3 linked regions of the Mus musculus genome follow. The protein of the gene in region 3 purifies or fractionates together with the protein of the main gene of each other region. This does not show direct contact. Links are inferred from orthologs where the notes say so. Each region holds a gene or a part of one and is shown on either strand. Other genes may lie near its edges.

Region 1 (7,568 bases), on a different chromosome or scaffold from region 3:
CCCAAGTTCCCTTTTTACAATGTGTCAAGCTGGCAATCAAGAGAGGCAACACAGCACAAAAATTCAATAAAATCCACACAAACCATTTGGTATTCAAGAACATAGCAGTAAGAACAAACACATGCCCTGACCGATTTGATTCCACCACAGGTTTACACTGAGATTGGTGCAACACAGGAAAGTCAATAAATGTTAAATGCAATGTACAGACTTAAAGGCAGACAGCATACAACTGGAGAAATGGCCTTTCCTGAAAAATAAGCCAGGCGGAGAGGAATGTAACAATGGATGTCAACACAAGCCTATACCCAACATTATAAATACTGAAAACTCAGAGTGTTTCCTTTTTGAACCAGGAGCGAGGCAAATGTACCCATTCTAGTCTCTCTCACCCAATACAATGTTCAAAACTTGGCTAGAGCAACAGAACAAGATCAAGACATGGAGGAGTGTGTGGTGGCTCAGCAGAGACTGCTTGTACAAGGCACACAACCCACATCTGACCACTGAACCTGTGTGGTGCAAGGAGTAACTACAGCAAGCGTCTTCTGACTGCACACATGTGCTGTGCCCTCCTGACAAAAATAAGTGAAGAGATGGTTCCTAAAAAGTAAATAATGGAAGGAAAGGAGATACGGAGGAAAAGAGGGGAGGAGAGGTGGGGGTGGGGTGGGGAGACGAAGTCCAAGCATCCTGATTTGCAAAGGACACGACTCTACACTATGTGGGAAGATCTTGGGTTTAATTCTGAACTATGTGGCTATACTAATTCTTCCTGCATTCCTATACATTGATAGCTGTCATGATTAGGAAAAAAAAAAAAAGTCATAATTAAATCTAAGAGGCTCTAAAAATTCCAAGTCTTCCAACTAGGAATCCTGTCAATTTTTTTTCTAAACTTCTGAATTCTACTTGCTTTGTTTGCATATGGTTCAGTTTCAAAAACTATATTGAGCCAGGGATAGTGCACACTGGTGTAGTCAGTCTCAGAAGGGCTTGAAATGGAGGATTCTGAGTTCAAAGCCAGCCCAGGGAAATCAGTGAGACCCTCCCCAAACAAACAGAGCGCATACACATATGGAAATACACATATGGAAATACACATATGGAAATCCAATGGGACATCCTCAGTAAGAGGTGATCAATATCAACAAGGACGTGGCATATTCTCAGTTGAGAGTAACAAAACGTGATGTTTTAGTTACACCTCATAGTTTCAGACAAAAGCAAAGTTTCCTCCTGGCCTTTCAGGAGTTCAAAAGTCCTTCCATTATCTTATTCCTTAGGGGTCGCAGGACCCTTGGCTCAGATAAAATAAAACACAACCTCCTGATTTTACACACTAACTAGCACCTAATTAAGATGTTTATTAACCATAATGGGAAAATATTTCTTCACATGAAATATATTGATCAATGTAGTGTTTTTAGAGAACAAAAGTAACTTGGTAAATATAAACAACCTAACTAAATAAAACAACCTTATGGACTATTTCCCATGAAATAAAAAAAATAACAAATGTTTCACATTAGAGGCACTGTAATTCTTGAAGTCTTTTTATTTAGTGATTTCTGGCAAGGAGATATACCATAGGAAAGTAATTTCACTGGCAGTGAGGTATATATACATATACCTCTACCAAACACTCCTTTAACTGTTTTTAACTTTATTTACAAATTATGAAAAGTATCAATGCATATCCTTGGTTCAACTATATTAGCAACACCATGAAATGAAGCGGAATGGTGCTTGCATACAAACTGCTGTTTGTAAACGACGCTCATTCAGGATGAAAGGAACTAAGTTGTTTTTGGAAAGTGTTTAAAAGAATCATCACAGTTTATCATGACCAAGACACCTGCACCGTACTGTCCATTCCTCACAGCACATTTATTTCAGTAATTCTGTTAAGTCGGTTCTTAGCATGAGCATAGTGTTACACAATTTTCATACATAGAATCACATCCAAAAACAACTTCTAAAATTCAAATTGTAAACATTCTCATATGTAGAAATATTTTGTGTATCAATAGTTTTGCTAAATGATCAAATTTGGAATATAAATGAGAAAGCCTATTCTAAATTGTGTAGTGAGCCTTGTTTATTAATTACATTTCTACAATGTTAAATAAAGACAACCCTGTCCTGTAAGCATGTCAAACGTATGGAAAACGTTACAAAGAAACAAATCTGTTAACAAAAGTATGTCTTGCAATAAAGAACATTAGATTTTTAAAATCTATTATGATACAAATGGAAAGGGTAAATAGCATCTTTGTTGACAAAGCAGGAGGTAGCATGGACGCACCACTTCATTGTCTGAGAAATGCAACTGGATTAAAGAATATTTCCTTACCACAAATAATTTCCAGGACTATGTACAATATTTCTTTTAGAAATACTTGTTTAAACAAATCTCGCTCCAACTTTTTAGTATATATATATATATATGTATATATATATAAAAAAAAACCGTTCCATTATGATTTTAAAAAAACACTTAACACATCTAGATAGAATAGTACTCTGCCCTATTTGAGGGAACAGTCTCAAACTATGAAGTACATGATATTTAATGCCCTAAGTTGAGTAAATTTAGTTAGCAGTTCCTGGTATTATACAAAACACTAAATACATACCAACAAAATATAATTTCTTATTTTTCTATGTGTGGGGAAAAACCAGAGCCTTGATTCTGGTAACACTGTAGAGAACATAATCTTTCAGTAAGTCTGTCTGTAAGGATTCATGTGCAACACTTTACAAATGGCTCTCAGATGTAGGACCTTTAGTTGAGTAAACTCAGCCAACAAAACTTAGTAAACCTTAAGAACACATCTCCACCCTATATAAAATATATGACTACTTACTGTCTTGTCTGAAGTATTGTTTGCTCCGATGCCACTCTAATTTACGGTCCCTCATTCTTCCTACTTTAGTATTTATAATGGATACTTTCATGTGGCTTACAAAAAAAAGACACAAATTTTAAATTTACATCCAATTAAATTTGCTATTGAAAAGGATTCCTGGTTCTATGATGCTGCTTCTGCCATTAGTAAAGAAAACGACGTTTCTGTGATAGAGGCAGGCTTTTTAAGTAGTGATGTGACTTCCACCATGCCAGCTCCAGTCCGTGGAAGATTAGCGTTTACAATGTGACGCTGTAAGTGCTTAATCCAGTCTTCCTGAACAGACAATGGTCCCCGAAAGACTAGGCCACAAAACCTATGAGGGAAGTAGATAATAATAGTTTTCTTAACTAAACGAACTCTATTTAAAACTAACTTATATATAAAGCCCACAATGTAAGAAATAAATCTCACCATATACCACATGGAACACACCTAAATTTAAATCAATGGTTCTCAACCTGTGGGTCGCAACCCCCTTGTAGTTCAAATGACCCTTTCACATGAGTCACCAAAGACCATCCTTCATATCAGATATTTACGTCACAATTCATAACAGTGGCAAAATTACAGTTATGAAGTAGCAACAATAGTTTATAAGCTGGGGTCACTACAACAAAGGGGACTCTATTAAAGGGTCTCAGCATAAGGAAGGGTGAGAACTACTGGTTTAAATTAACTTAAACCAATCAATTTACACCCTTATTAATAGACTTAGGAAATGTCAATATTTTTAATAGACTGGAAATTATTTAAGATTAATAAGCTTCTAAAAAATGTACGTGTATAATGGGTATTTTGCCTGCCTGTATTGTCTGTGCACCAAATGTGCATGCCTGTGTCCTTATAGGCCAGAAAAGGATGTAGGATCCCAAGACTGGAGTTACAGATACTGCGAGGCATTATGTGGGTGATGGAGGTCAAGCATGGGTTCTCTCAAAGAGCAGCCAGGGCTCTCAGCTACTGAGCCACCTTTCCTGCCCCAGTCAATACTTTTAGACCATCTAAATTCATTCACAAGAGTTATTCCAAAGTGTATCTCTTGAAAGACCCTTTTCTAATTCAGAAGTACATGATGTCTGTGTTTCTATCTGTAAAGTGCATGAAGGAAAAGAAAACGTGTAAATATGTTCTCAGTAAGCAGGAACAGTAGAAATAAACCAAACCAAATTAACCACGTATATAAAGCACAACAACCAATACACCACTTCTACCAACTGCAGTATAATACAGCAGTTGGCTAATGTACAGACATAATTTTATCAGTTGTTGAAGCAAACATATGAGTATAAGTTATGATTCTAAGCTGAAAAAAATCATTTATCACTTTATTGTTGAGCAAGCCACAAAATAAAAATGCCAACTACTGTGTCTCAAAGGACACCTGGAAAAGGGACCGTAGCACACAAAGCAACCGAGGCATATACCTGCATCGGAGAATGTAAACCTCGTCAGCACCATGAGGCAACGTTAGCATTTTCTTCTTGCTTCCAGATCTTGACCTTGATTTCTTCTGCTTACAATCTATGGCTAAAAAGGGAAGAGAAAAACTTAATTTCTCATATATTTAAAACACACCTACATAACAGAGAGGTCACAACAGCTCAACTACACCAGGAAAGTCTCTGTTCAGCTCTGTTTTCAGGGTATGCACTAACTCTTAGTGGCTTCTAGAGCAGATTCTCCTGGAGTCGCTTTCTCCAAATACAACACTCAGGTACAACTGAGAAAATATGACTAAAGAACTGGGAGCTCAGTCAATAATTACAATACAGAGAATCTTTAACTTCTGAGCATACATAATTCTAAACGTCTTATTTCTAGGAAAATCACAACTTTTAATGTTACTTAATTAAATATGCACTTGATTATTATTCTATTAAGTAACCCTAGCAAACTGGGCAATGGAATATCAACAATGTAATAATACAAAGCTCAACGAAGAAACAATTTCCACTGAAATTCAAGACCAACATAGCTCAGTTTTCCTTTGTAAACAACCTGTTACATGTACAATCATGCAAACGTGTGAGCTGTATAAGTAACTATAAATTTGTATTATCTGAGTTCACAGCTGGATCCAGTGTTTGATGCCAACTATTCTTTTCATTTTTTCACACTATATTTTCTCCAGTGGTTTGCTTTTAAAATGTGATTTAAACAAAAAGCTTTTTTTAAGGGTAGACCAAATATTTTAGTGTTGGTTTTGACATTTTTCCCATTACTTTTCCCTTAATTATTTATTCCAGTCTGTGAGTCACTGAAAGAAAACACTTTATCGTTGAACTAGTGGGTAGGACACTGCTCTGCAGTCCTTGGATCCTCTGGACAAAGGGATGGCAGTGACTGCAGATGCTGCTTGTCAAGGAGCAGGGAGAAGAAAGAGCGCATCCCTAGGGCTGCGAGTGAAGGATCCAAATGTAACACCAGAATCCTTCAAATGGCTTCTCTCATCCATGGAATCCCCTGAAACAATTCCAAGTAAGAGAAGAGGGATGGGCCGCTCAATGGACCTGCCATGTGGGCTGTTCCAAGTCCAGATTCCAAAAGAACAGGTGCTGCCATTACAGAACCAGAGACCACAGTTCCTCACAGCAGACAAGTGGGAAGGTAACAGAAATGCACGCAGCAAACTACAAACTGTAGTGAATGGAAGAGCACAGTCCCGACGGCCAGCTTCTTGTCACCTGTTTATTTCAAAGTAAAAACTAAGACTCACTGGGTTTTGCTTTTTTCCTATTAATCATTAAAACAAGAGACTAACAGTAAGGTATTGAAGAATAACTAATTCAAAGATAAATAACCCAGCTCTGGAAAATTCTAATGTTGTCATTAGTTATGTCAGTCAAGAGCCTGGTACATAGCAGAGACTCAACAAATGCTTCTGGAGCAAAAATAAAAAAATAAATAAATAGACAAATCAAGTAAAACCTAATAATTTATCCATTAGCATTTTGATGGAGTGCAACTGGAACTCTCTGCTACCAAAATGCAATATGGGCAACACCCCTTCCTACCATGGCCATCATGTGCGTAAATGCACTGTTGGAACCACAAGTTCTGCGTTATCTTGGCTATGTATCACAGAACAGTCTAACTTACAGCAACCAGGTTCCTCATCACACCTAATATGGACGACCAAACACCATACACTTCTTTTCCACAGTGGCTGCAGTGGGCAATTTAGAATTGGAATGACTTTTAAGTGATTCATACTCTGGAAAGAGTTCAGAGAAATACTAGAGATCAGTTACTCCCTCCACCTCTGAGGTAAATCCACAGAATGTCTGCCTCTATGATGTAGGACACAGCAAGGGTAGGTGTTAGATCACAGATACAATCTTTCTTTGGAGAGCTGGAGAGCTTATGGGTTGTTAAACTTGCCACATTACAAAAAAAAAATCCTTGCAGAATGTAAGTAAATTACTGTGGATACAAACAGAATGCACTGGCAACCTTACAAACGAGCTTCACATAATGCCACTGTCAGCAAATGGGGAGAGGAATAGTAAGAAGAGGTCAATGATGTGTCTTATGCTACCAAACTCAGTTGAAGAGACATGCTGTGATGTCTGAAACATGCACCTGGACAGCCTGCACTTATAAAGAGTATTTACATGAATGAGCAAGAACAGTATTTTCTGAATTTTGATGCTGTACGACTCTACAAGCTGTTTATGAATGATCACATCTAAAACTATAAATAAAGCCATCAAAATTCCAGTGTTAGCATTTGAAGGTGTCATGACACCAGAAAATAGGGCAACTGTTATAATGTAGCTGATAAACTCTGCTAACTAGGTTTCCAAGTCATGTTGCACAAGTTCTTAGAAATTCACCCCTTTCCTAAGATTAAAATATTTCAAATCTCAGACTCCTGGGAATAAAACTTGAATGTCTAAGTGTCTACGTCTTCATTATTTTAAAATCCCTTGGTTCCGGAAACATTGTTTTGTAGGTGAAATGAGTACGTTGAACAAGAAGGTTAATTACTAGCATCCAGCCCACCTCTGCAATGCTGTCCCTACATTTAGAAAAAACAGGTAAAAAACCTGAGTAACACACATGGCATGCAAGGAAGACATTCATATGGCACCTGCTGCATCAGAGACAACTGCCATAAAGCGTTCCCTTGAATGCAAAGAATAGTGTACCAACATGTCTGTCACAGCAGCATTCTAGATCAACCAATGTTCAGCATTCTAACTGCATGCTTGTGTTGGATGAGGGTTGGTTTCTCGCTCTGTAACTATGCCACTGCTGTGGGGCACAAGCAGGCCCAGGAGTGAGTCAGGCCCTCACACGCCACTTAGAATGCAGAACAAGTGCAGTGAACCAGGGACCCAAAGGACTTGGTTAAAAATCGGAAGACTTCACCCACTACTGCAAAACTACTGGCCGAGAGTGAATTGAGCTGCAGAGTCATATACAAAGGCTTTACAATCTTTTAGTAAAGCAGCTGTGTTTTACTAAACATGGAAGAACCTCAAAAGACCCCACACAGTGTTGTGCTAAGCACTAACCAGGTGACAAGCATGCCATTAGATGACACAACACACCCAGAGTCAAGTCTCTTCTGAAGAACTACTTCATTTTATATACAAGAAACACAGGTTACTTTCGGCACTGATGTCATCATGTGAGATCTTCTGCGTT
Region 2 (7,568 bases), on a different chromosome or scaffold from region 3:
ATGTAGTAAGCTCCAGTTCACTCAGAACTACATAAGAGACCAAACCAACAAAACACAAACTCCAACACCTCCCCCCATATTAAAAAAGACAGACAGAAAACAATCCAATGTCAGGTAACTAAAACCAAGACCACAGAAAAACCGTTGATTGCACTGTTCGTGGGCATGGAGGCACAGGGATAGTACAACCTTCACTGTGTGTTCCGAGCAGCACAGAGTTTAAACACTGAAATTAAAACAGTGAAATAACTAGACACCACACAAGTATGTTTACAAAAATATTTTAATGAGCATATCAGAATGGCAGAAGGAAATGGGAGGAAGGACATATTTTACAGTGCAAATTATTATGCAGAAATTTAAAAACATCTAATTTATAATTTTGAATGCCTACTTAAATTACTTCAAATACATTTTAAAGCTCAACAGATCCGCGTTGAGCTGAGTTACAGATTCTGAACCTTACTGAGAATACATCATAAACATTGTGTTTCAAAGGAAAATGACAATGCTAACTACCAACAGAGACATTTCTGTTTGAGGCAGCATCTCAGGTATCTCAGGCTTGCCTCCAACTCACTATGTAGGTGAGGACGGCCTTGAACTTCTGATCCTCCTGCCTCCACCTCCCAAGTGCTTAGGATGACAGGCATGTGCCACCACACCCAGTTTATGTGGTACTGGGCATGGAACCCAGGCTTCATATGCACGTTGGGCAAAACAGTCAAACTACTGAGCTACATCCCTACTCCTGAAGGCTTATTTTCTCATCTCAATTACTTAAGTGCTCAAGAGTTATGAAATATACTAAACCTTTAACAAATTACTCATGATATTGCCAAGTTGTTTAAAAGTGCAATGACTTAAGTTTCAGTGGCTGCAGTTTTGAACAAAGGGTGAAATACCTGTACAAACACAGAACAATGTAGTTTGGAAAAGCTGAGCATCGTGTATTAGAGAAATGTTTCATTATGCATACTTTAAAAAGAAAAGTAAGATATATGAACACATATACACCTGGCACATTTCCCAACATGCCTGAGAAATTCCTTAAAAAGTTCCTGTAACAACAGTTTCAAGAACTCTAGGAACTTGCCCAGCAGTTGTAGCCTTTAAAAGGTGGGCTGACACCTCCAATAGTGTAATGATTAAAAAGCATCACTGTTTTTTAAAAAAACATTCCTAGAGACCATCTGTGACAAAGAGTTAGAATGGTTTGAACTCATTTAATAAAACCTGCTTTAGAGAATAGATTGTTGCTGGGTGTGGTGGGAAACACCTTCAATCTCAGCATTAGAGGGCTGAGGTAGAAGGATTGTTAAGTTCCAGGCCAGCCTGGGCTACACAGTGAGACTCTGTTTTGTTTTTGTTGTTTTTAAAAAAAAAAAAAAAAAACACAGAAAAAAGAGAGATAATAGAAATGGGTGGGGGTGGGCAGGGAAACAGAGGCTATGATCCATCTGCTAAAGCTACTTGACCTACTGCCATTCTGGATAAATTAATGGTTTTCAATAAAACAAACAAACAAACAAAATCCTCTCATGCTTCTTAGCACTTCCATCTGAAACTGACTTACTGGGATATTTCTGCAAAAACAATAAATGCATATTATGTGATGTACTGTCAAAGTGCCTTCCAATACTGGTCGAGGGAAAGGAAGCAGTCTGGACAAATCTAAGAATACTCTGAGGGAGAGGCCTGGGCGATCATTCTCAGTGCGAACCTTTACCCAACCTGCATCAGACAACTGAGCCTGTGAAAGGAGCACAGATCTGCCTTTGAGAGCATTGGCTCTTGAACTGATGGCTGAGATCAAACTGAAAGCAGCATTTGGGGATGTGCCTGTGTGAGAAAACATAGCTAATAATCATTCGCTAAAAAACAGTCTGGAGATAGATTGGTCTATCAGCTGTAAAAAACTACATTTTTTAAGAAGAATTTTGCACTAAAAATAAAATGGCACCCATCCATACAAGGCTAGTGCAGATAACCCTTTTTAAAAATCACACAGAACAATGATTATTTTGTATGTGTTTCATTTTGGAAAAACTATCAAATCTGACAAACTGGATTACAACTGGAAAAATCTGAAAATTCTTAAAACCATTATTTTCTCATAAAAATGAATATTGCTACCTGTCAACAGTTACTCCTTGGATGTGGCAATATTGCAACATCACCTGGTCTTCCCCTTCTGTTGACTTAATGGAAACGATGAGAAATCTTATAGGGCACATGAGAGCAACTGAACAGGATTCTATTCAGCATGATACATCTACGCACTTAAGCTGACGGTAAGTTTTTGTTTTGTTTCAAAATTAATTTATAAAATTATAGCAAATGCAAACAAGCTTGTAATCTGAGTATCATGCTGAAATTTAGACATCCCAAATTATTTGTCAGTAAGTAGAAGTTTGAAAATAACGCATGTTCATAATTCTTTATGAATGCTTTTACCACCTGGATAAGAAACATGACTTGGTTAACTACACACACACTTAAAAAGTCATTAGAAAAATCTTAGCAAAATAAAATGAAAGCTGACAGACTCAGAATATCAGTTCCTCTCATAAAAGTTTACCAACTGTACAAGTTAAGAAAATTATACAAGCTTTTTGTATTAAGAAAAGACAGCTCAGTCAAGACATATGTACTGTAAAAATCTTTCAAAGGCTACAAAGAATCTGGAAAAATACAGAATGTATTTCTTAAGCCCAGATAAGAATATGGAAAGACATCATTGATGTCAACAATTTTACAAATACAAACCTGACTTGGTTTATTTTTAAACTTCTACATATAAAAATCATGCTAGCATAACCTTCAGGATTCATGAGGGTTTCCTTAGTAACGATGTTCAATTTGTATGGAGAGAAAAATGTCTGTTGTAAAGACATTTCCAGATAATAAAAAATTTGATGTTGAGCAGAAACACAAACTCTTTTCTTCCTCATAAAGAATAAGGAAAGATTACCTTTTAATCAAATATATGATTTGGTTTTCAAAGGAGAAGGTGCAGTTAAGTCTTTGGGTCATTCAAATTTACCAATGTTTTTATATCCTTAAAGAGGGCTTCAAAAATTTGAAGTAAAAGAACTTGTAAAAGGTAGAATTATGAATCCCATTTCTTAAAAGTTAGGACTTAATTCAAATTTCAAGAGTTAACCAACTGCTTTAAGGAAATCAGCTTTCTAAAGGTCACCCCCCAACCCTGAAAATTGTAGTCAAACCAGACTTTACTGCAAAGAAAGTGAAACAGGCCTAAGAGTTAGTCATTCGTGTTTTCATGTTCCTCAAACTTCCCATGTGAGACTGCTTCCTGGAAAAACTCAGATGAGCCCGGACTTTCTTTCCCACTGCTGTTTATCCGCCGCCTTTTGGCAGGTCTCTCATTTTTTTCATCAAAATCATTTTCATTTCTTGCAGTCATATGGGCAAGTTTTGGGTCAGTGGTCAGGTTATTTGCTTCATAACCATTAGTGTCCATATCTGTAAGAAGTGGTTTCTTATTTCCACCTGTTGGTCCATTAACATGTAACCCTTCAACTTTTACTTCTTCTTTGTTTAGTATTTCTCCTGGTCCATTAGATGAGACACCTACATTTGGAGAGAGATAAATGAAACTTAATACAAAAAGCTAAACTTGTCAACTCTTCTGAAATATCTGCTACAATACACACTTCCAACAAGGAACAAGGAAAGCACCAATCTGAGTGCACTCACTTGTGGCGTGGCCATGGCTTACCAGCAGACATAGCAAGGTCTCCATCGGCTGCACTGCAGCTTCCTTACACACCAGGAGACCCAAACCAAGTGCATGTTACACAGCTGATGATCAACTAAAACAATGGATTTTACCCTGGCATATATTAAAAGTGTACTAAGAGGCTGGAGCAATGGCTCAGTGGCTAAGAACACTTAACGTTCCTAGAGGAAGACCTGGGTTCAGTTTCGAGAATCCATAGGGAGGTTTACAAGCACCTGTATGTAACTCAAATGGTGGCTCACAACCACCTATAACTCTAATCTCAGGAGATCTAACACCTTCTCCCAGCCTTCTCAGGTCACACAGTGTCTCTCTCCTTCCCCCCCCTCCTCCTTACACACACACATACACACACACACAGCACCCATACACACCATACACACAAGCACTACTATGTAAGAATATACTGACATTGTTCCTACAGGAGGTGGGATCTGAGGCTGAAGCCATTCTGGATCGTATGCATCAAGAACCTTAACCATCTACAATAGGTAAAAAAAGTAAAATTATTCTAATTAAATAAAGTAGCAGAAAGATCATATTAGAGCTGACTACGGCACTAGAGATACTCAAACCATTCATTCATATGAGCACTCTATTTGTATATATGTCTGCATGACAGAAGAGAATGTCAGATCCCATTATTAGGTTGTAAGCTACCATGTGGTTTCTGGGGAATTGAACTGAGGACCTCTGGAAGAGCAACTAGTGCTGTTAATCACTGAGCCATCTCTCCAGCCCAAGATATTTAAATCTAAATTATGTAACAAATATTCAACATAAAGAATAATTCTCAAAGATTATATTTTGGTCAAAGAAAATACTCAATTATTCTCAGCTTAATATGTATCCAACTCTTTTTTTTTTCTTCTGTCTTTTATTTTATTTTATTTTATTTTATTTTGAGACAGGGTTTCTCTGTGTAGCCCTGGCTGTCCTCGAACTCAGAAATCCACCAGCCTCTGCCTCCCAAGTGCTGGGATTAAAGGCGTGCGCCACCACGCCCGGCTGTATCCAACTCTTGAATGCACATAGGAACTATGCATCATGTAACACTAAAGAAATAATTCTGTGCTAGCTAGTCTAAAAAACTACATTAAACTGATTAAGGACAAAGAACTATAATACTATTTTGGTGCATTAACTGAAAAGGAAATAAAGCTAAAAAAATTGAGTATATAAAAAAATTAAGCTAAGAAGTTCTACTCTTTTTTTGAAAAACCTGAAAATTTGGATTATATTTACCTGATCTCTTCTGAGCTAAATAGCATTTTTTCAGTCATTTATGAAAATTATCTTACTCTAACAGTGTTTTCTCTATCAAACAGCTAAAAGAGGAAAGGATTTTCTTGGTGTTAAGATGTTAAAGCAAAAGAACCAAGAATCTGAACTCCCTGAGCATCTACACCAGTTCTGAGTTCCAGCCGCACTGCATCTTACATTGTTATTCACAAAGGCACAGCTGACAGCAGGACAGCAGTCTAACAAGCAGTGTCAGACCTGCATGGCACTGAGACCCACATTCTGTGTGTCCAGCTTGTTCTTTTTCTTGGGAGGGGAATTTTTGGGAGTTTCATGTGTCTGTCAGAGAGATCTGCTGTCTGGTTGGTTGTACAGAGAGAAGTACACAGGAAAGGAGCATGGAGTGCACTATGTAATGAATACGCCACCACAGTGAGTGTGGGGTCAAAGCTTTGCCAGTTTTCGTCCATCTTCTCCATGGCTCTCCCATTTCGGTTCTTAACTCCAGTTTCCTCCTTATGAAGATGCTGCGCAATCAGGCTCGCTATTTTCTGCTCAATAATATTCTTACTTGGGACAGTTAAAGTAGAAATCAAAACAATTCTGAGAACAGCTCTTATAGATGGACCTTCACATACTCTGAAGAACACTGTCTTGGTTTGTGTATGTGTGTGCTGTGTGGTGTGTGGTATGCATATGTGTGTGATGTGAGTGTATGTGTGGTGTGTGACATATGTGCATGTGAGAAAGAGAATAAACGTTTCTGCAGAACACCCATGCCCAGGCTGATAGCTAGCTGCTTTACATCTGTTCACTGTTCAGGTTACGATGCAAAGTCAAACATTCAAAAATTAGTTATTACCTACACTTTGAGTCATTAGATTAAAGTACATGTAACAATTTCTCAAACTAATGGAGAAAGAAACATGTTTCTGATGAAAACAGAGGGCTCAAGCCTAGGCATTATCCCACTCAGCTGGGATCAGAGAAGAGATGCTACTTAACGAGAATTTCCCTGTGTAGCTTGGGTCATACATTTCATTTTGAGATGCCACTAAGAACTCTTTCCAATGACTCCATAGTGTCATGGGATGTGTGTTGTTTCTTATTAGTTAGTTTACAGTGCATTCTTTGAGCCATTCCAAGTGTCCTTTACAGTGTAGAACTGGGTGCATCTCCAAGCGGCTTACCGTTCTGATTCCTACTGCTGACAGCGCCATCTTCTTTCTCGGACTGGCTGTTACTGCTATTTGAGGCAGTGGGAGGGGGGGATGGTGCTCGGCTAGAAGCAGCACTTTCACTTTCATCCAAAAGACGATCCATGTAATCCCTTCAAGTTAAATAATATGACTATTATTCCCTTAAAGACAATGCTGAACATTAAAATTAGTTGAAGTTAAATTTGCACACCCCTGTTCACAAATCCATCCTGACTGCCACTTACATTCAAGTCAATGCCTCACAACTGTACCTGGATGTGAACACTTCCTGTCAACTACACATTTATAGTGCTATGTATGAAGGTTCGAAGCTAACGAAAACATCAAGTCCACAGCAAGTTTCAAGACTTTAAGATGTGCAGAAAACGGCTCAAAATGGTGGGACTGAAGCTGGAGTGTGTATAAGTACAGAGGTAAGGATGAGGGCACTGGGAGTACAAAGTGATTTCTGAACAGAAGTAGACTGGGTTTTCAGATCCCCAGTGCAACTGGGCCCAACCCAGAGGAGCCATCCCTGCCTAGCCACTACACAGATCAGCGTGATCTCACTGCGATGGGCCCAGTCCTGGGCTGATTTATAACTTTTATTACAATCACATTAGTTGAGGATCATACTATGCTGGGGTGAAAAAATCCTGTCTGAAGGTAGTGATTTTTAAAAAATAAAATGCAGATAAACCCATGTTTCCTATCTACACACAAGGTTATTGTACTGAACATGAAAGTGGCAGACTATGGCTTGTGGGCTGGCTGCCACTTCTGTACAGTCCAACTGAAACATGGTCATACATTTGTTACCCCCAAGACTGGGCGGCAGACATGCTGGATCCTTGCGGCTCACTAGGCAAGCCAGCCAGTCATGGCAGCAAGCCTTGGGTACCAAGGGAAGACCCCGTCTAAAAAAACTTTGTGGGCAGTTCCTGAAAAGTAACACCAAAAGTTGCCATCTGGTCTCAATACACATACACGTGTGCATACACAAGCCAAACATGTACCACAGAAACATATTATGACCAGAAACTAACATAACAGTCTTGACGTTATAAATGTAATGGCATTTAGGATCTTCCAGCACTACATTGCTCTACATTGTCATTAAAAAAACAACTGCAGAGTCAATCTGAAGCACACAGAAAGAGAAACAGGTAAGATGTCTATCACAGGAACTTCAGAAACAAAAGAAAAAAAAAAAGAAGAAAAAAAAAAACACTAGACAGAATTACTGAAAACAAAGCCTATGGGAGTGAATACTGGAGAGTTTAAAAAAAAAATTCCAAAGGAAGCTAGATAAAAAGACATCAAAATTATGTTCAAACTTTGAATGTGGCAATGATACTGTG
Region 3 (6,870 bases):
TCAGTGGGGAAGGCCAGCCCTGAAGTCACTTGCACTCCCAGTGAGAAACCAGCTCTGGGAGAGGGGCCATCGACCTTCCAGGCCTTACTGGGGTCTCTGATGGAGAAATGTCTGAAGGGCAGTGCCCGGCCTGGATTTTAAGAGTCCTCAGGTGTTGATGGGGGGCAGGGAGCTGAGGTCAGGGAGCAGCTCCGGGTGGGGGTCCAGCCGGGCCAGGCGGCTCTGCTCCAGGGCGATGGCCTCCGCTGAATGCTTGCACTTCTCAGAGCCACACTGGCAGGTGAAATACTTGCTCTTGATGTCCCAGAATCGGTCACCGTAGTCAAAGCTGGCAGAGGAAACACAGGAGCTCTTGGCCCTTGGATCTAGACACTTCAAACCCATCTCATAGAGCCCAGGAGCCCTCTTGAGGGATCCACCTTCTTCCACCCAACCACTCCTGCAGATGGACTCCAGGTCCTTGTTGGCTCTGTTGACTCACACTCCCAGAGAACTGTCATAAATGCAGGCTTCTAGCCTTCCTGCCTTGTGACCAGACTCTCCCGAGGCTCTGCGGGAAGTGGGATGCAGCCTGCCCAGGGCCTAGTATACTCAACCATCCAGCCAACCCACACTAGCCCCCATCCCCCTTCTTGTTTTTTGCTTAAGATAGGGTCTCTCTACATAGGCCTGGCTGTCCTGAACTCTGTAGTTAGCCCAGGCTGGCCTTGAATTTGTAGGTACTTCTGCTTCAAGCTCTTTCAAACACTAGCATGACAGGCATGTGATACCAGGGCAACCTGGACTTCTCTTGTTTTGTTTTGACACAGGGTCTCACTCTGTAGCCCAGACTCTTTGTGATCCTCCTGCCTCAGCCTCCTGAGTGCTGTGATCATGAATGTATGTTCCTACTCCTGCCTTACACAGTTTTAACAAGCCTTCCAAGGGACACCTAAGAACACCAAAGGAAGCCGGGTATGGTAGCACACACCTTTAATCCCAGCACTTGGGAGGCAGAGGCAGGCAGATTTCTGAGTTCGAGGCCAGCCTGGTCTACAGAGTGAGTTCCAGGACAGCCAGGACTACACAGAGAAACCCTGTCCCGAAAAACCGGGAAAAAAAAAAAAAAAAAAAAAAGAACACCAAAGGCTGGTCAGTGCCCTCAGGCTGGCTCCTCACCCCAGCTCCTCCCCAGTCCGGATGTCCCTGGAGCTGAAGAAGGCAATGCGTGGGAACCGTAGATCTTGGTGCAGCATGAAAACCCGGACAGGGATGATGTTGGGGTCACACAGGTGGTTAATGAATCGGCTGATGTTGCCATAGTAACGGGCATCAATGCAGTAAACCTCGCCATCCTGGGGGTGGAGACACAGTGTTCTTAATATCCACTTCTATCCACTTGCCTGGCTAGTGTTCCTGCAGTGACACCCAGTCCCTCCACCCAGGCTTCCAGTCCCAGATGTTACAGGTGGCTGCACAAAGCAGCCTTTGGTAGTTGAGGGCAGAGGTGCTGCATCCCACCTTGTTATCTAAATCGAAGAGGTAAGAATCATCCTCTCTCACATCAGCCTCGGCATCAGAGATCAGCTCTCCTACATACCTGTTGGACGGAAACTTCAGTTCTGCATGAACAGTGAGCAGGGCTCCCGGCCCCACCTTCCCACTCAGTTCTCAGAGCCCAGGGGAGAGATGCAGGACATGGTCCAGCCACTAGGGGTCGCTGTGCAGCTGTAGACAGGCAGGTGGGAGGCTCTGTACAGGTGGAGCCTGCAAGACCTGAGCAGGCATGGTGGGAGATGACGTGTGTGTGTGTGTGTGTGTGTGTGTGTGTGTGTGTGAGCCTGTGTTCTGGGGATTAGCATCCCTGGTGGCTGGCTGGGTGGAAAGTTGCCAGGCTTAGACATTAGGAGGTGTGTGCACCAGGAACTATCAAACAGGTGGTAGGCTCTGCGCAGCTACATCAGTCATGAGGTCGCCCCATGTGGCTGGAAGAGGAATTGCCCAAGAGAAGTGGGTGTCTGAGAAGTTGAGGGAACAGAGAAACTGGGAGGTCCTCGGAGCAGGTGAAGGGGCTTCTCTGCTCTAAAGGCCACAGAGAACCTAGGTGAGTCTGACGGCAGAGGGGAGGAAGTGCACAGGAAAAAGCTATTCTCCACTTTACAGATCTGTCTGCCACAGGCATGCTCCATCTAGGCAGCGTGCAGGTAAAGGGGGGACATGATGTTTGGAAATACACTCGGTGGGCGAGCAGAGACATGTATCCTGACATGGAGCTCTAGGGTCAGCAGAGCCCTCATGCACCACGGCCTCACAGTGAACTTACTCGCAGATGAACGTGCCCTGGGGGATGGTCTGCAAGGCTCGGACCCCCCAGCCCATCTTGGCAGTCCGGTAGAGCTGCAGCCGTACCCTAGAGGTGGAGAGGGAGTCACACTGAGTGTGGGACACCTGGGAGGGCCCCAGGGGAGGGGAGGCGGAGGCGAGGCAGGGTGCCGGGGCGCGCGCCTCACTTGATGCCGCTCTGCACCACGCGGTTCTTGCAGCTTCTCCAGCAGGAGCATGCCTGGTTACACTCAAAGATCAGGGGGGGCTCGATCTTGTTAAACTCCTGGAGCAGCCGCCCGTCCTGGGGTGCGGAGGGAGGGGATAGTGGTTTCTCTGTGGGGCCCATTTCAGCTGCCCTGGACCCAGAGGACTCCACAGGAAACTCCACTCTGACCCCAGCCAAGAGCAGAAGAGCAAGGTGCAGAGTCTGCAGGCTGAGGTCAGAGACCAGGAAGTGTGCGCGCAGGCACTAGAGCGCGCATTTGCATATACTCCAGCAGAGAGGCCCATTGCATTCCTGGCAGGGCTTCCTGCCACACCCTGTGTCTCTTCCCCAACACAGCAGGGTCCTGGCTCCTTGGCAGACCTGCCAGGTGAGGGTCACGTACCTTGTCATACCAGCATCGGATACTGAGCTGACCACATAGGCAATTGGAGCTGGAGCAGTCATCCACACACGTGCAGTGCTGTGGGAGAAAAGTAGGAGTGAGTGGGGTTCATGTTCCAGGACAGTGAGTGGTGGTGGTCCCAGTGTGAGGGGGAGTCTTCATGCCCCCCATCCTGGTGTGGAGGTGCTCCCACAGCATGGTGAGCGGGGCTGTGCCTTACCTGCAGATGGGTGATGTTGCGGTCGATGTTCATGGTCGATGTCTCGCAGTTCTCAGAGATGTACTTGTAGTCCTCCGGGCACGGCTCCCCATCCACACCATTGACACAGGGGATGGGTACATTCTCATAGCCTCGGGCTACGTCCCTACAGAAGGGGCAGATAAGGTCAAAGTGGGGCAGAGTAGTTCTGAGGGGAGGATTCCTTGATCTAAGGGTGCTGGCACTTTTATCTCAGCACATGCAGGGAGACGTTCTTGAAAACAAACAAAGACACCACGGAGAACAATCTCGGCTAAGAAATAGTTATGTCCCAAGTAGTGACTGGGTTATTTCTGTTTCTTGGTGAGAATGCAGACTGAGCCCAACAGCACGGTGCATACTAGGCCAATAAATGCTCGCCCACTGACCGATGTTCCCAGCCCCGACCTTTTCTCATTCCTTGGTGAGATACAGCATCCTATAGCCCCGGCTGGCCCCAGACTGAAAGATAGCAGAGAATGACTTCGACAGTCTATTCTCCTGCCCTGGCTCCCGAGTGCTAGGGTCAGAGGCATATGTCACCACCCCAATGGACTCTGGACTTTTAAATTTTAGCTGGAGACTGAGTCTTGCTACAATGCCCCAGCTGGCCTTAAACGTGAAGTTATGATTTTCCCGCCTCTGCCTCCTCAGATGCTATAAGGACAGACAAACACCAAAGTACTCAGCTTGCACAGAACACATCTGGATTACAAACTTACATATCTTTTTGTTTTGTTGGTTTTTGTGGTTGGTTTTTTTGAGACAGGGTTTCTCTGTATAGCCCTGGCTGTCCTGGAACTCACTTTGTAGACCAGGCTGGCCTCAAACTCAGAAATCCCCCTGCATCTGCCTCCTGAGTGCTGGGATTAAAGGAGTGCACCACCACGCCCGGCAACCCACCTCCTTCTTTGAGACAGCATCTCACTGTACAGCCCTGGAACCCAGAAATCAGCCTGCCTCTGCCTCTGCCTCTGCCTCCAGAGCGAGATTAAAGGTCTACACCACTCTCCGCCTGGCCCGAGCAGCCTCATGTCTGAGTGTGGTGTGCACAGGATACAATGAGATGGAAAGCTCAGAGGGCAGTCCTCGGGAGGCAGCTCTCTCCTTCTGGTGGGTTCATGGCTTAAACTCCACACGCACTTTCAGCAGTTGGGCCGCCTCACACTAGCTTTGTGGTTGTTTTTGTTTTGTTTGTTTTTCCTTTTTTAAGTTTTGAGTCTCATTGAGCCTCCAATATGCAGGCTCAAGAGGTAGTCTTCCTCCTTGGCCTTCAGAATAGAAGGGATCACAAGTAACACCTAGCTCCTCTCTGAAATTCTTATCTATCTGGGTGTCTGCCTCAAACTTGAAATCCTCCAGCCTCCACCACCTCGAAGGCTTGGAAAACATGTCCTTTTTGTTCTCTTGTCCTTTTTTGTTTGTTTTCTGAGACAGGGTTTCTCTGTGCAGCCCTGGCTGTCCTGGAACTCACTTTGTAGACCAGGGGTCCTCAAACTCAGAAATCCACCTGCCCCTGCGTCCCAAGTGCTGGGATTAAAGGTGTGCACCACCAATGCCCGTCTCCTCTTTCTTTTGTTTAAAGATTAAGGTCTCATTATGTGGCCCTTGTTGGCCTGGAACTTATTACATAGATACAAAGCAGGCTGGCCTCAAGTTCAAAACAATCAGCTGTCTGCCTCCTTCATGCTGAGATTACAGGTGTGGGTCACCACACCCTGCCCTCAGCTTTTTTCAACTGTGTGTGAGAGTGTCATGAGGTGTGTTTGTAAGCCAGAGGACAATTTGGAGGAGTTGACTTTCTCCATGTGAGTCCAGGGACTGACCTCTGTTAGGCTTGGCCACAGGCTCCCTTGTCCACTGAGGGTCTCACTGGCTGAGTCCCTTATTTCCACCTCCCCTAGTGGCAAGATGATTCTAGCAATTCTCGGGATGTCCTGTGCCTGGGAAGGGGCCTGGGACTGGCCAACGTGGGCCGTGGCAGTGGGCATGGATGTCTGGACTGCACTCACCGGCAGATGATCTTCTCGGTGCGGACAGCCCGGTTCCCTACCCCAAGCCTAAGCTTTCGATTGAGCTGCAGTGCAAACCACACATCAGAGCGCTCTGGGGTCAGATCCCATGCCGTGTCTCCTTCTTTGTTCCGAAGCTCAGGGTTGGCTCCACGAGACAGGAACAACCTGAAGAGGAACATAAGGCCTAGGTCAGAGATTGGACAGTGGGGTGTGGGTGCCAGGGGTTGGGGAAGCTAGGGCTTACAGAACACAGTCATGGTAGCTCTCCCTGGCGGCTATGTGCAGGGGCGTGTCCCCATGGTAGTTGACAGCATGGAGATCACACTGGGCATTCAGAAGGACCTCAGCGATGGCGGCACTACCCGTGAAGGAGGCCCAGTGCAGGCAGATGTTTTCCTCCTGTGGAGGTGAGAGGCAGAGACTTGGTTGCAGGTGACACAATCCTTGAACTGAGCCCCCACTCTGCATAGGGGTCCCGCTGCTACCCACCCCAAGTTCTCTGAGCCCCCTTGAGTGTCCCTCACATTGTCAGTCAGGGTGACATCGGCACCCCGGGTCAGCAGCATACGAATCACATCGATGTGCTTGTGCTCGGCTGCCCAGATGATGGGCGTCCAGCCCCCACTGTCCTGAGGGAAGGAAGGAGGAAGGGAATGAGGGCCCAGACTTGCTGGCCAGAAAATAGGAGCTCAGGGGCACCTCTGGAAACAACCACAGCCAGAGAATGGGTATCCACAGATGCACCCCCGCCCCCCAATGCTCACAGGGAACCTCACTGGACGCACTCAGAGATAAGAGATGGGAGTCGAGTTCCATGAACCAAAAAAATGAGGGAATCAACGTGGGCAGTGGGAGGTAGTGGGGGAGGGTCAGGTCAGCTGAGGAAGAAGCGGGACTGATGCCCAAGGGACAGATAGCCAAAGAATCTGTGTACAGGAGGGGCAGCCAGGTTGCTAACCTGGGCATTGACGTCCACCTGTCCTGTGCTCAGTAGCAGGCTGACCATTTCCAAGTTCCCAATTTTGGCTGCATGATGTAGACAGGTGGAGCCATCCTCTTCCTGAGGGAAACACGAGCCAGTGAACCCTTCAGCTAGCACCCCGTGCCCAGGTATCCCTTCTTCCTCCCACCACCCAGCTCTCCAGCGCCATCCCGCACCTTGCTGTAGACACAGCCACCTAACTGCACCATGTAGCGTGCCACCTCCAGGTGGTTGTTCACCACGGCCTCCATTAGTGGCGTGCGTTGTTGCTTATCTACGGCATTGATGTTGGCTCCTGCCTGTGAGGACAGTGTGAAGGCTGGCACCAGGGAGAGGGGATGCTGGGGAGGGGTTGGACAGTGGGAAGGGTCATGAGGACTGACCTGCAGCAGCACATGACAGATCTCTACCGACCCCTTCTGGGCGGCCGCGTGCAGGGGCGTGCGCTTGCTCTGCTGGTCGCTCTGGAAGTTGGGGTCCAGGTTGTCTACTGCAGGCAGAGATGAGACAAGAGGTAAGAGAGCTGGGGGTGGGACAGCCCTGTACCAAGAGAGACTTCCCAGGATTCCCCACTAGGCAAGCCGTGCCAGCCCCTCAGTACTGCCCCGCACTAGAGGAACACTCAGCCTCCAGGCCGGGAAAGCTTATAAGTTGTGCACTGGATCAGTGCCCATTACCAACAGGTTACCACTGCTGCCGCCACCGAGGGTCCTTCCCTTTCAC

The links. Proteins that work in one complex are often made in the same cells at the same time.
Region 1: the proteins of Ehmt2 (region 3) and Zfp644 purify together in Homo sapiens (affinity purification with mass spectrometry; 3 studies listed by BioGRID and IntAct, with this or other methods). This does not show direct contact. The link is inferred for Mus musculus from reciprocal best matches to the Homo sapiens genes EHMT2 and ZNF644.
Region 2: the proteins of Ehmt2 (region 3) and Mier1 purify together in Homo sapiens (co-immunoprecipitation; 3 studies listed by BioGRID and IntAct, with this or other methods). This does not show direct contact. The link is inferred for Mus musculus from reciprocal best matches to the Homo sapiens genes EHMT2 and MIER1.

Annotation. Positions count from the first base shown.
Region 1 is NC_000071.6:106,615,201-106,622,768, forward strand, and holds the end of Zfp644 (zinc finger protein 644), read right to left. Parts: intron 4,443-7,568; coding exon 4,340-4,442; intron 3,229-4,339; coding exon 3,036-3,228; 3' UTR 1,541-3,035; downstream 1-1,540.
Region 2 is NC_000070.6:103,158,452-103,166,019, reverse strand, and holds the end of Mier1 (mesoderm induction early response protein 1), read right to left. Parts: intron 6,339-7,568; coding exon 6,199-6,338; intron 3,598-6,198; coding exon 3,269-3,597; 3' UTR 266-3,268; downstream 1-265. UniProt on the Homo sapiens protein: Transcriptional repressor regulating the expression of a number of genes including SP1 target genes. Probably functions through recruitment of HDAC1 a histone deacetylase involved in chromatin silencing.
Region 3 is NC_000083.6:34,907,098-34,913,967, reverse strand, and holds part of Ehmt2 (histone-lysine N-methyltransferase EHMT2), read right to left. Parts: intron 6,638-6,870; coding exon 6,531-6,637; intron 6,447-6,530; coding exon 6,324-6,446; intron 6,226-6,323; coding exon 6,124-6,225; intron 5,795-6,123; coding exon 5,690-5,794; intron 5,565-5,689; coding exon 5,410-5,564; intron 5,331-5,409; coding exon 5,163-5,330; intron 3,278-5,162; coding exon 3,133-3,277; intron 2,991-3,132; coding exon 2,913-2,990; intron 2,606-2,912; coding exon 2,490-2,605; intron 2,390-2,489; coding exon 2,303-2,389; intron 1,580-2,302; coding exon 1,501-1,579; intron 1,335-1,500; coding exon 1,159-1,334; intron 329-1,158; coding exon 148-328; 3' UTR 1-147. UniProt on the Homo sapiens protein: Histone methyltransferase that specifically mono- and dimethylates 'Lys-9' of histone H3 (H3K9me1 and H3K9me2, respectively) in euchromatin.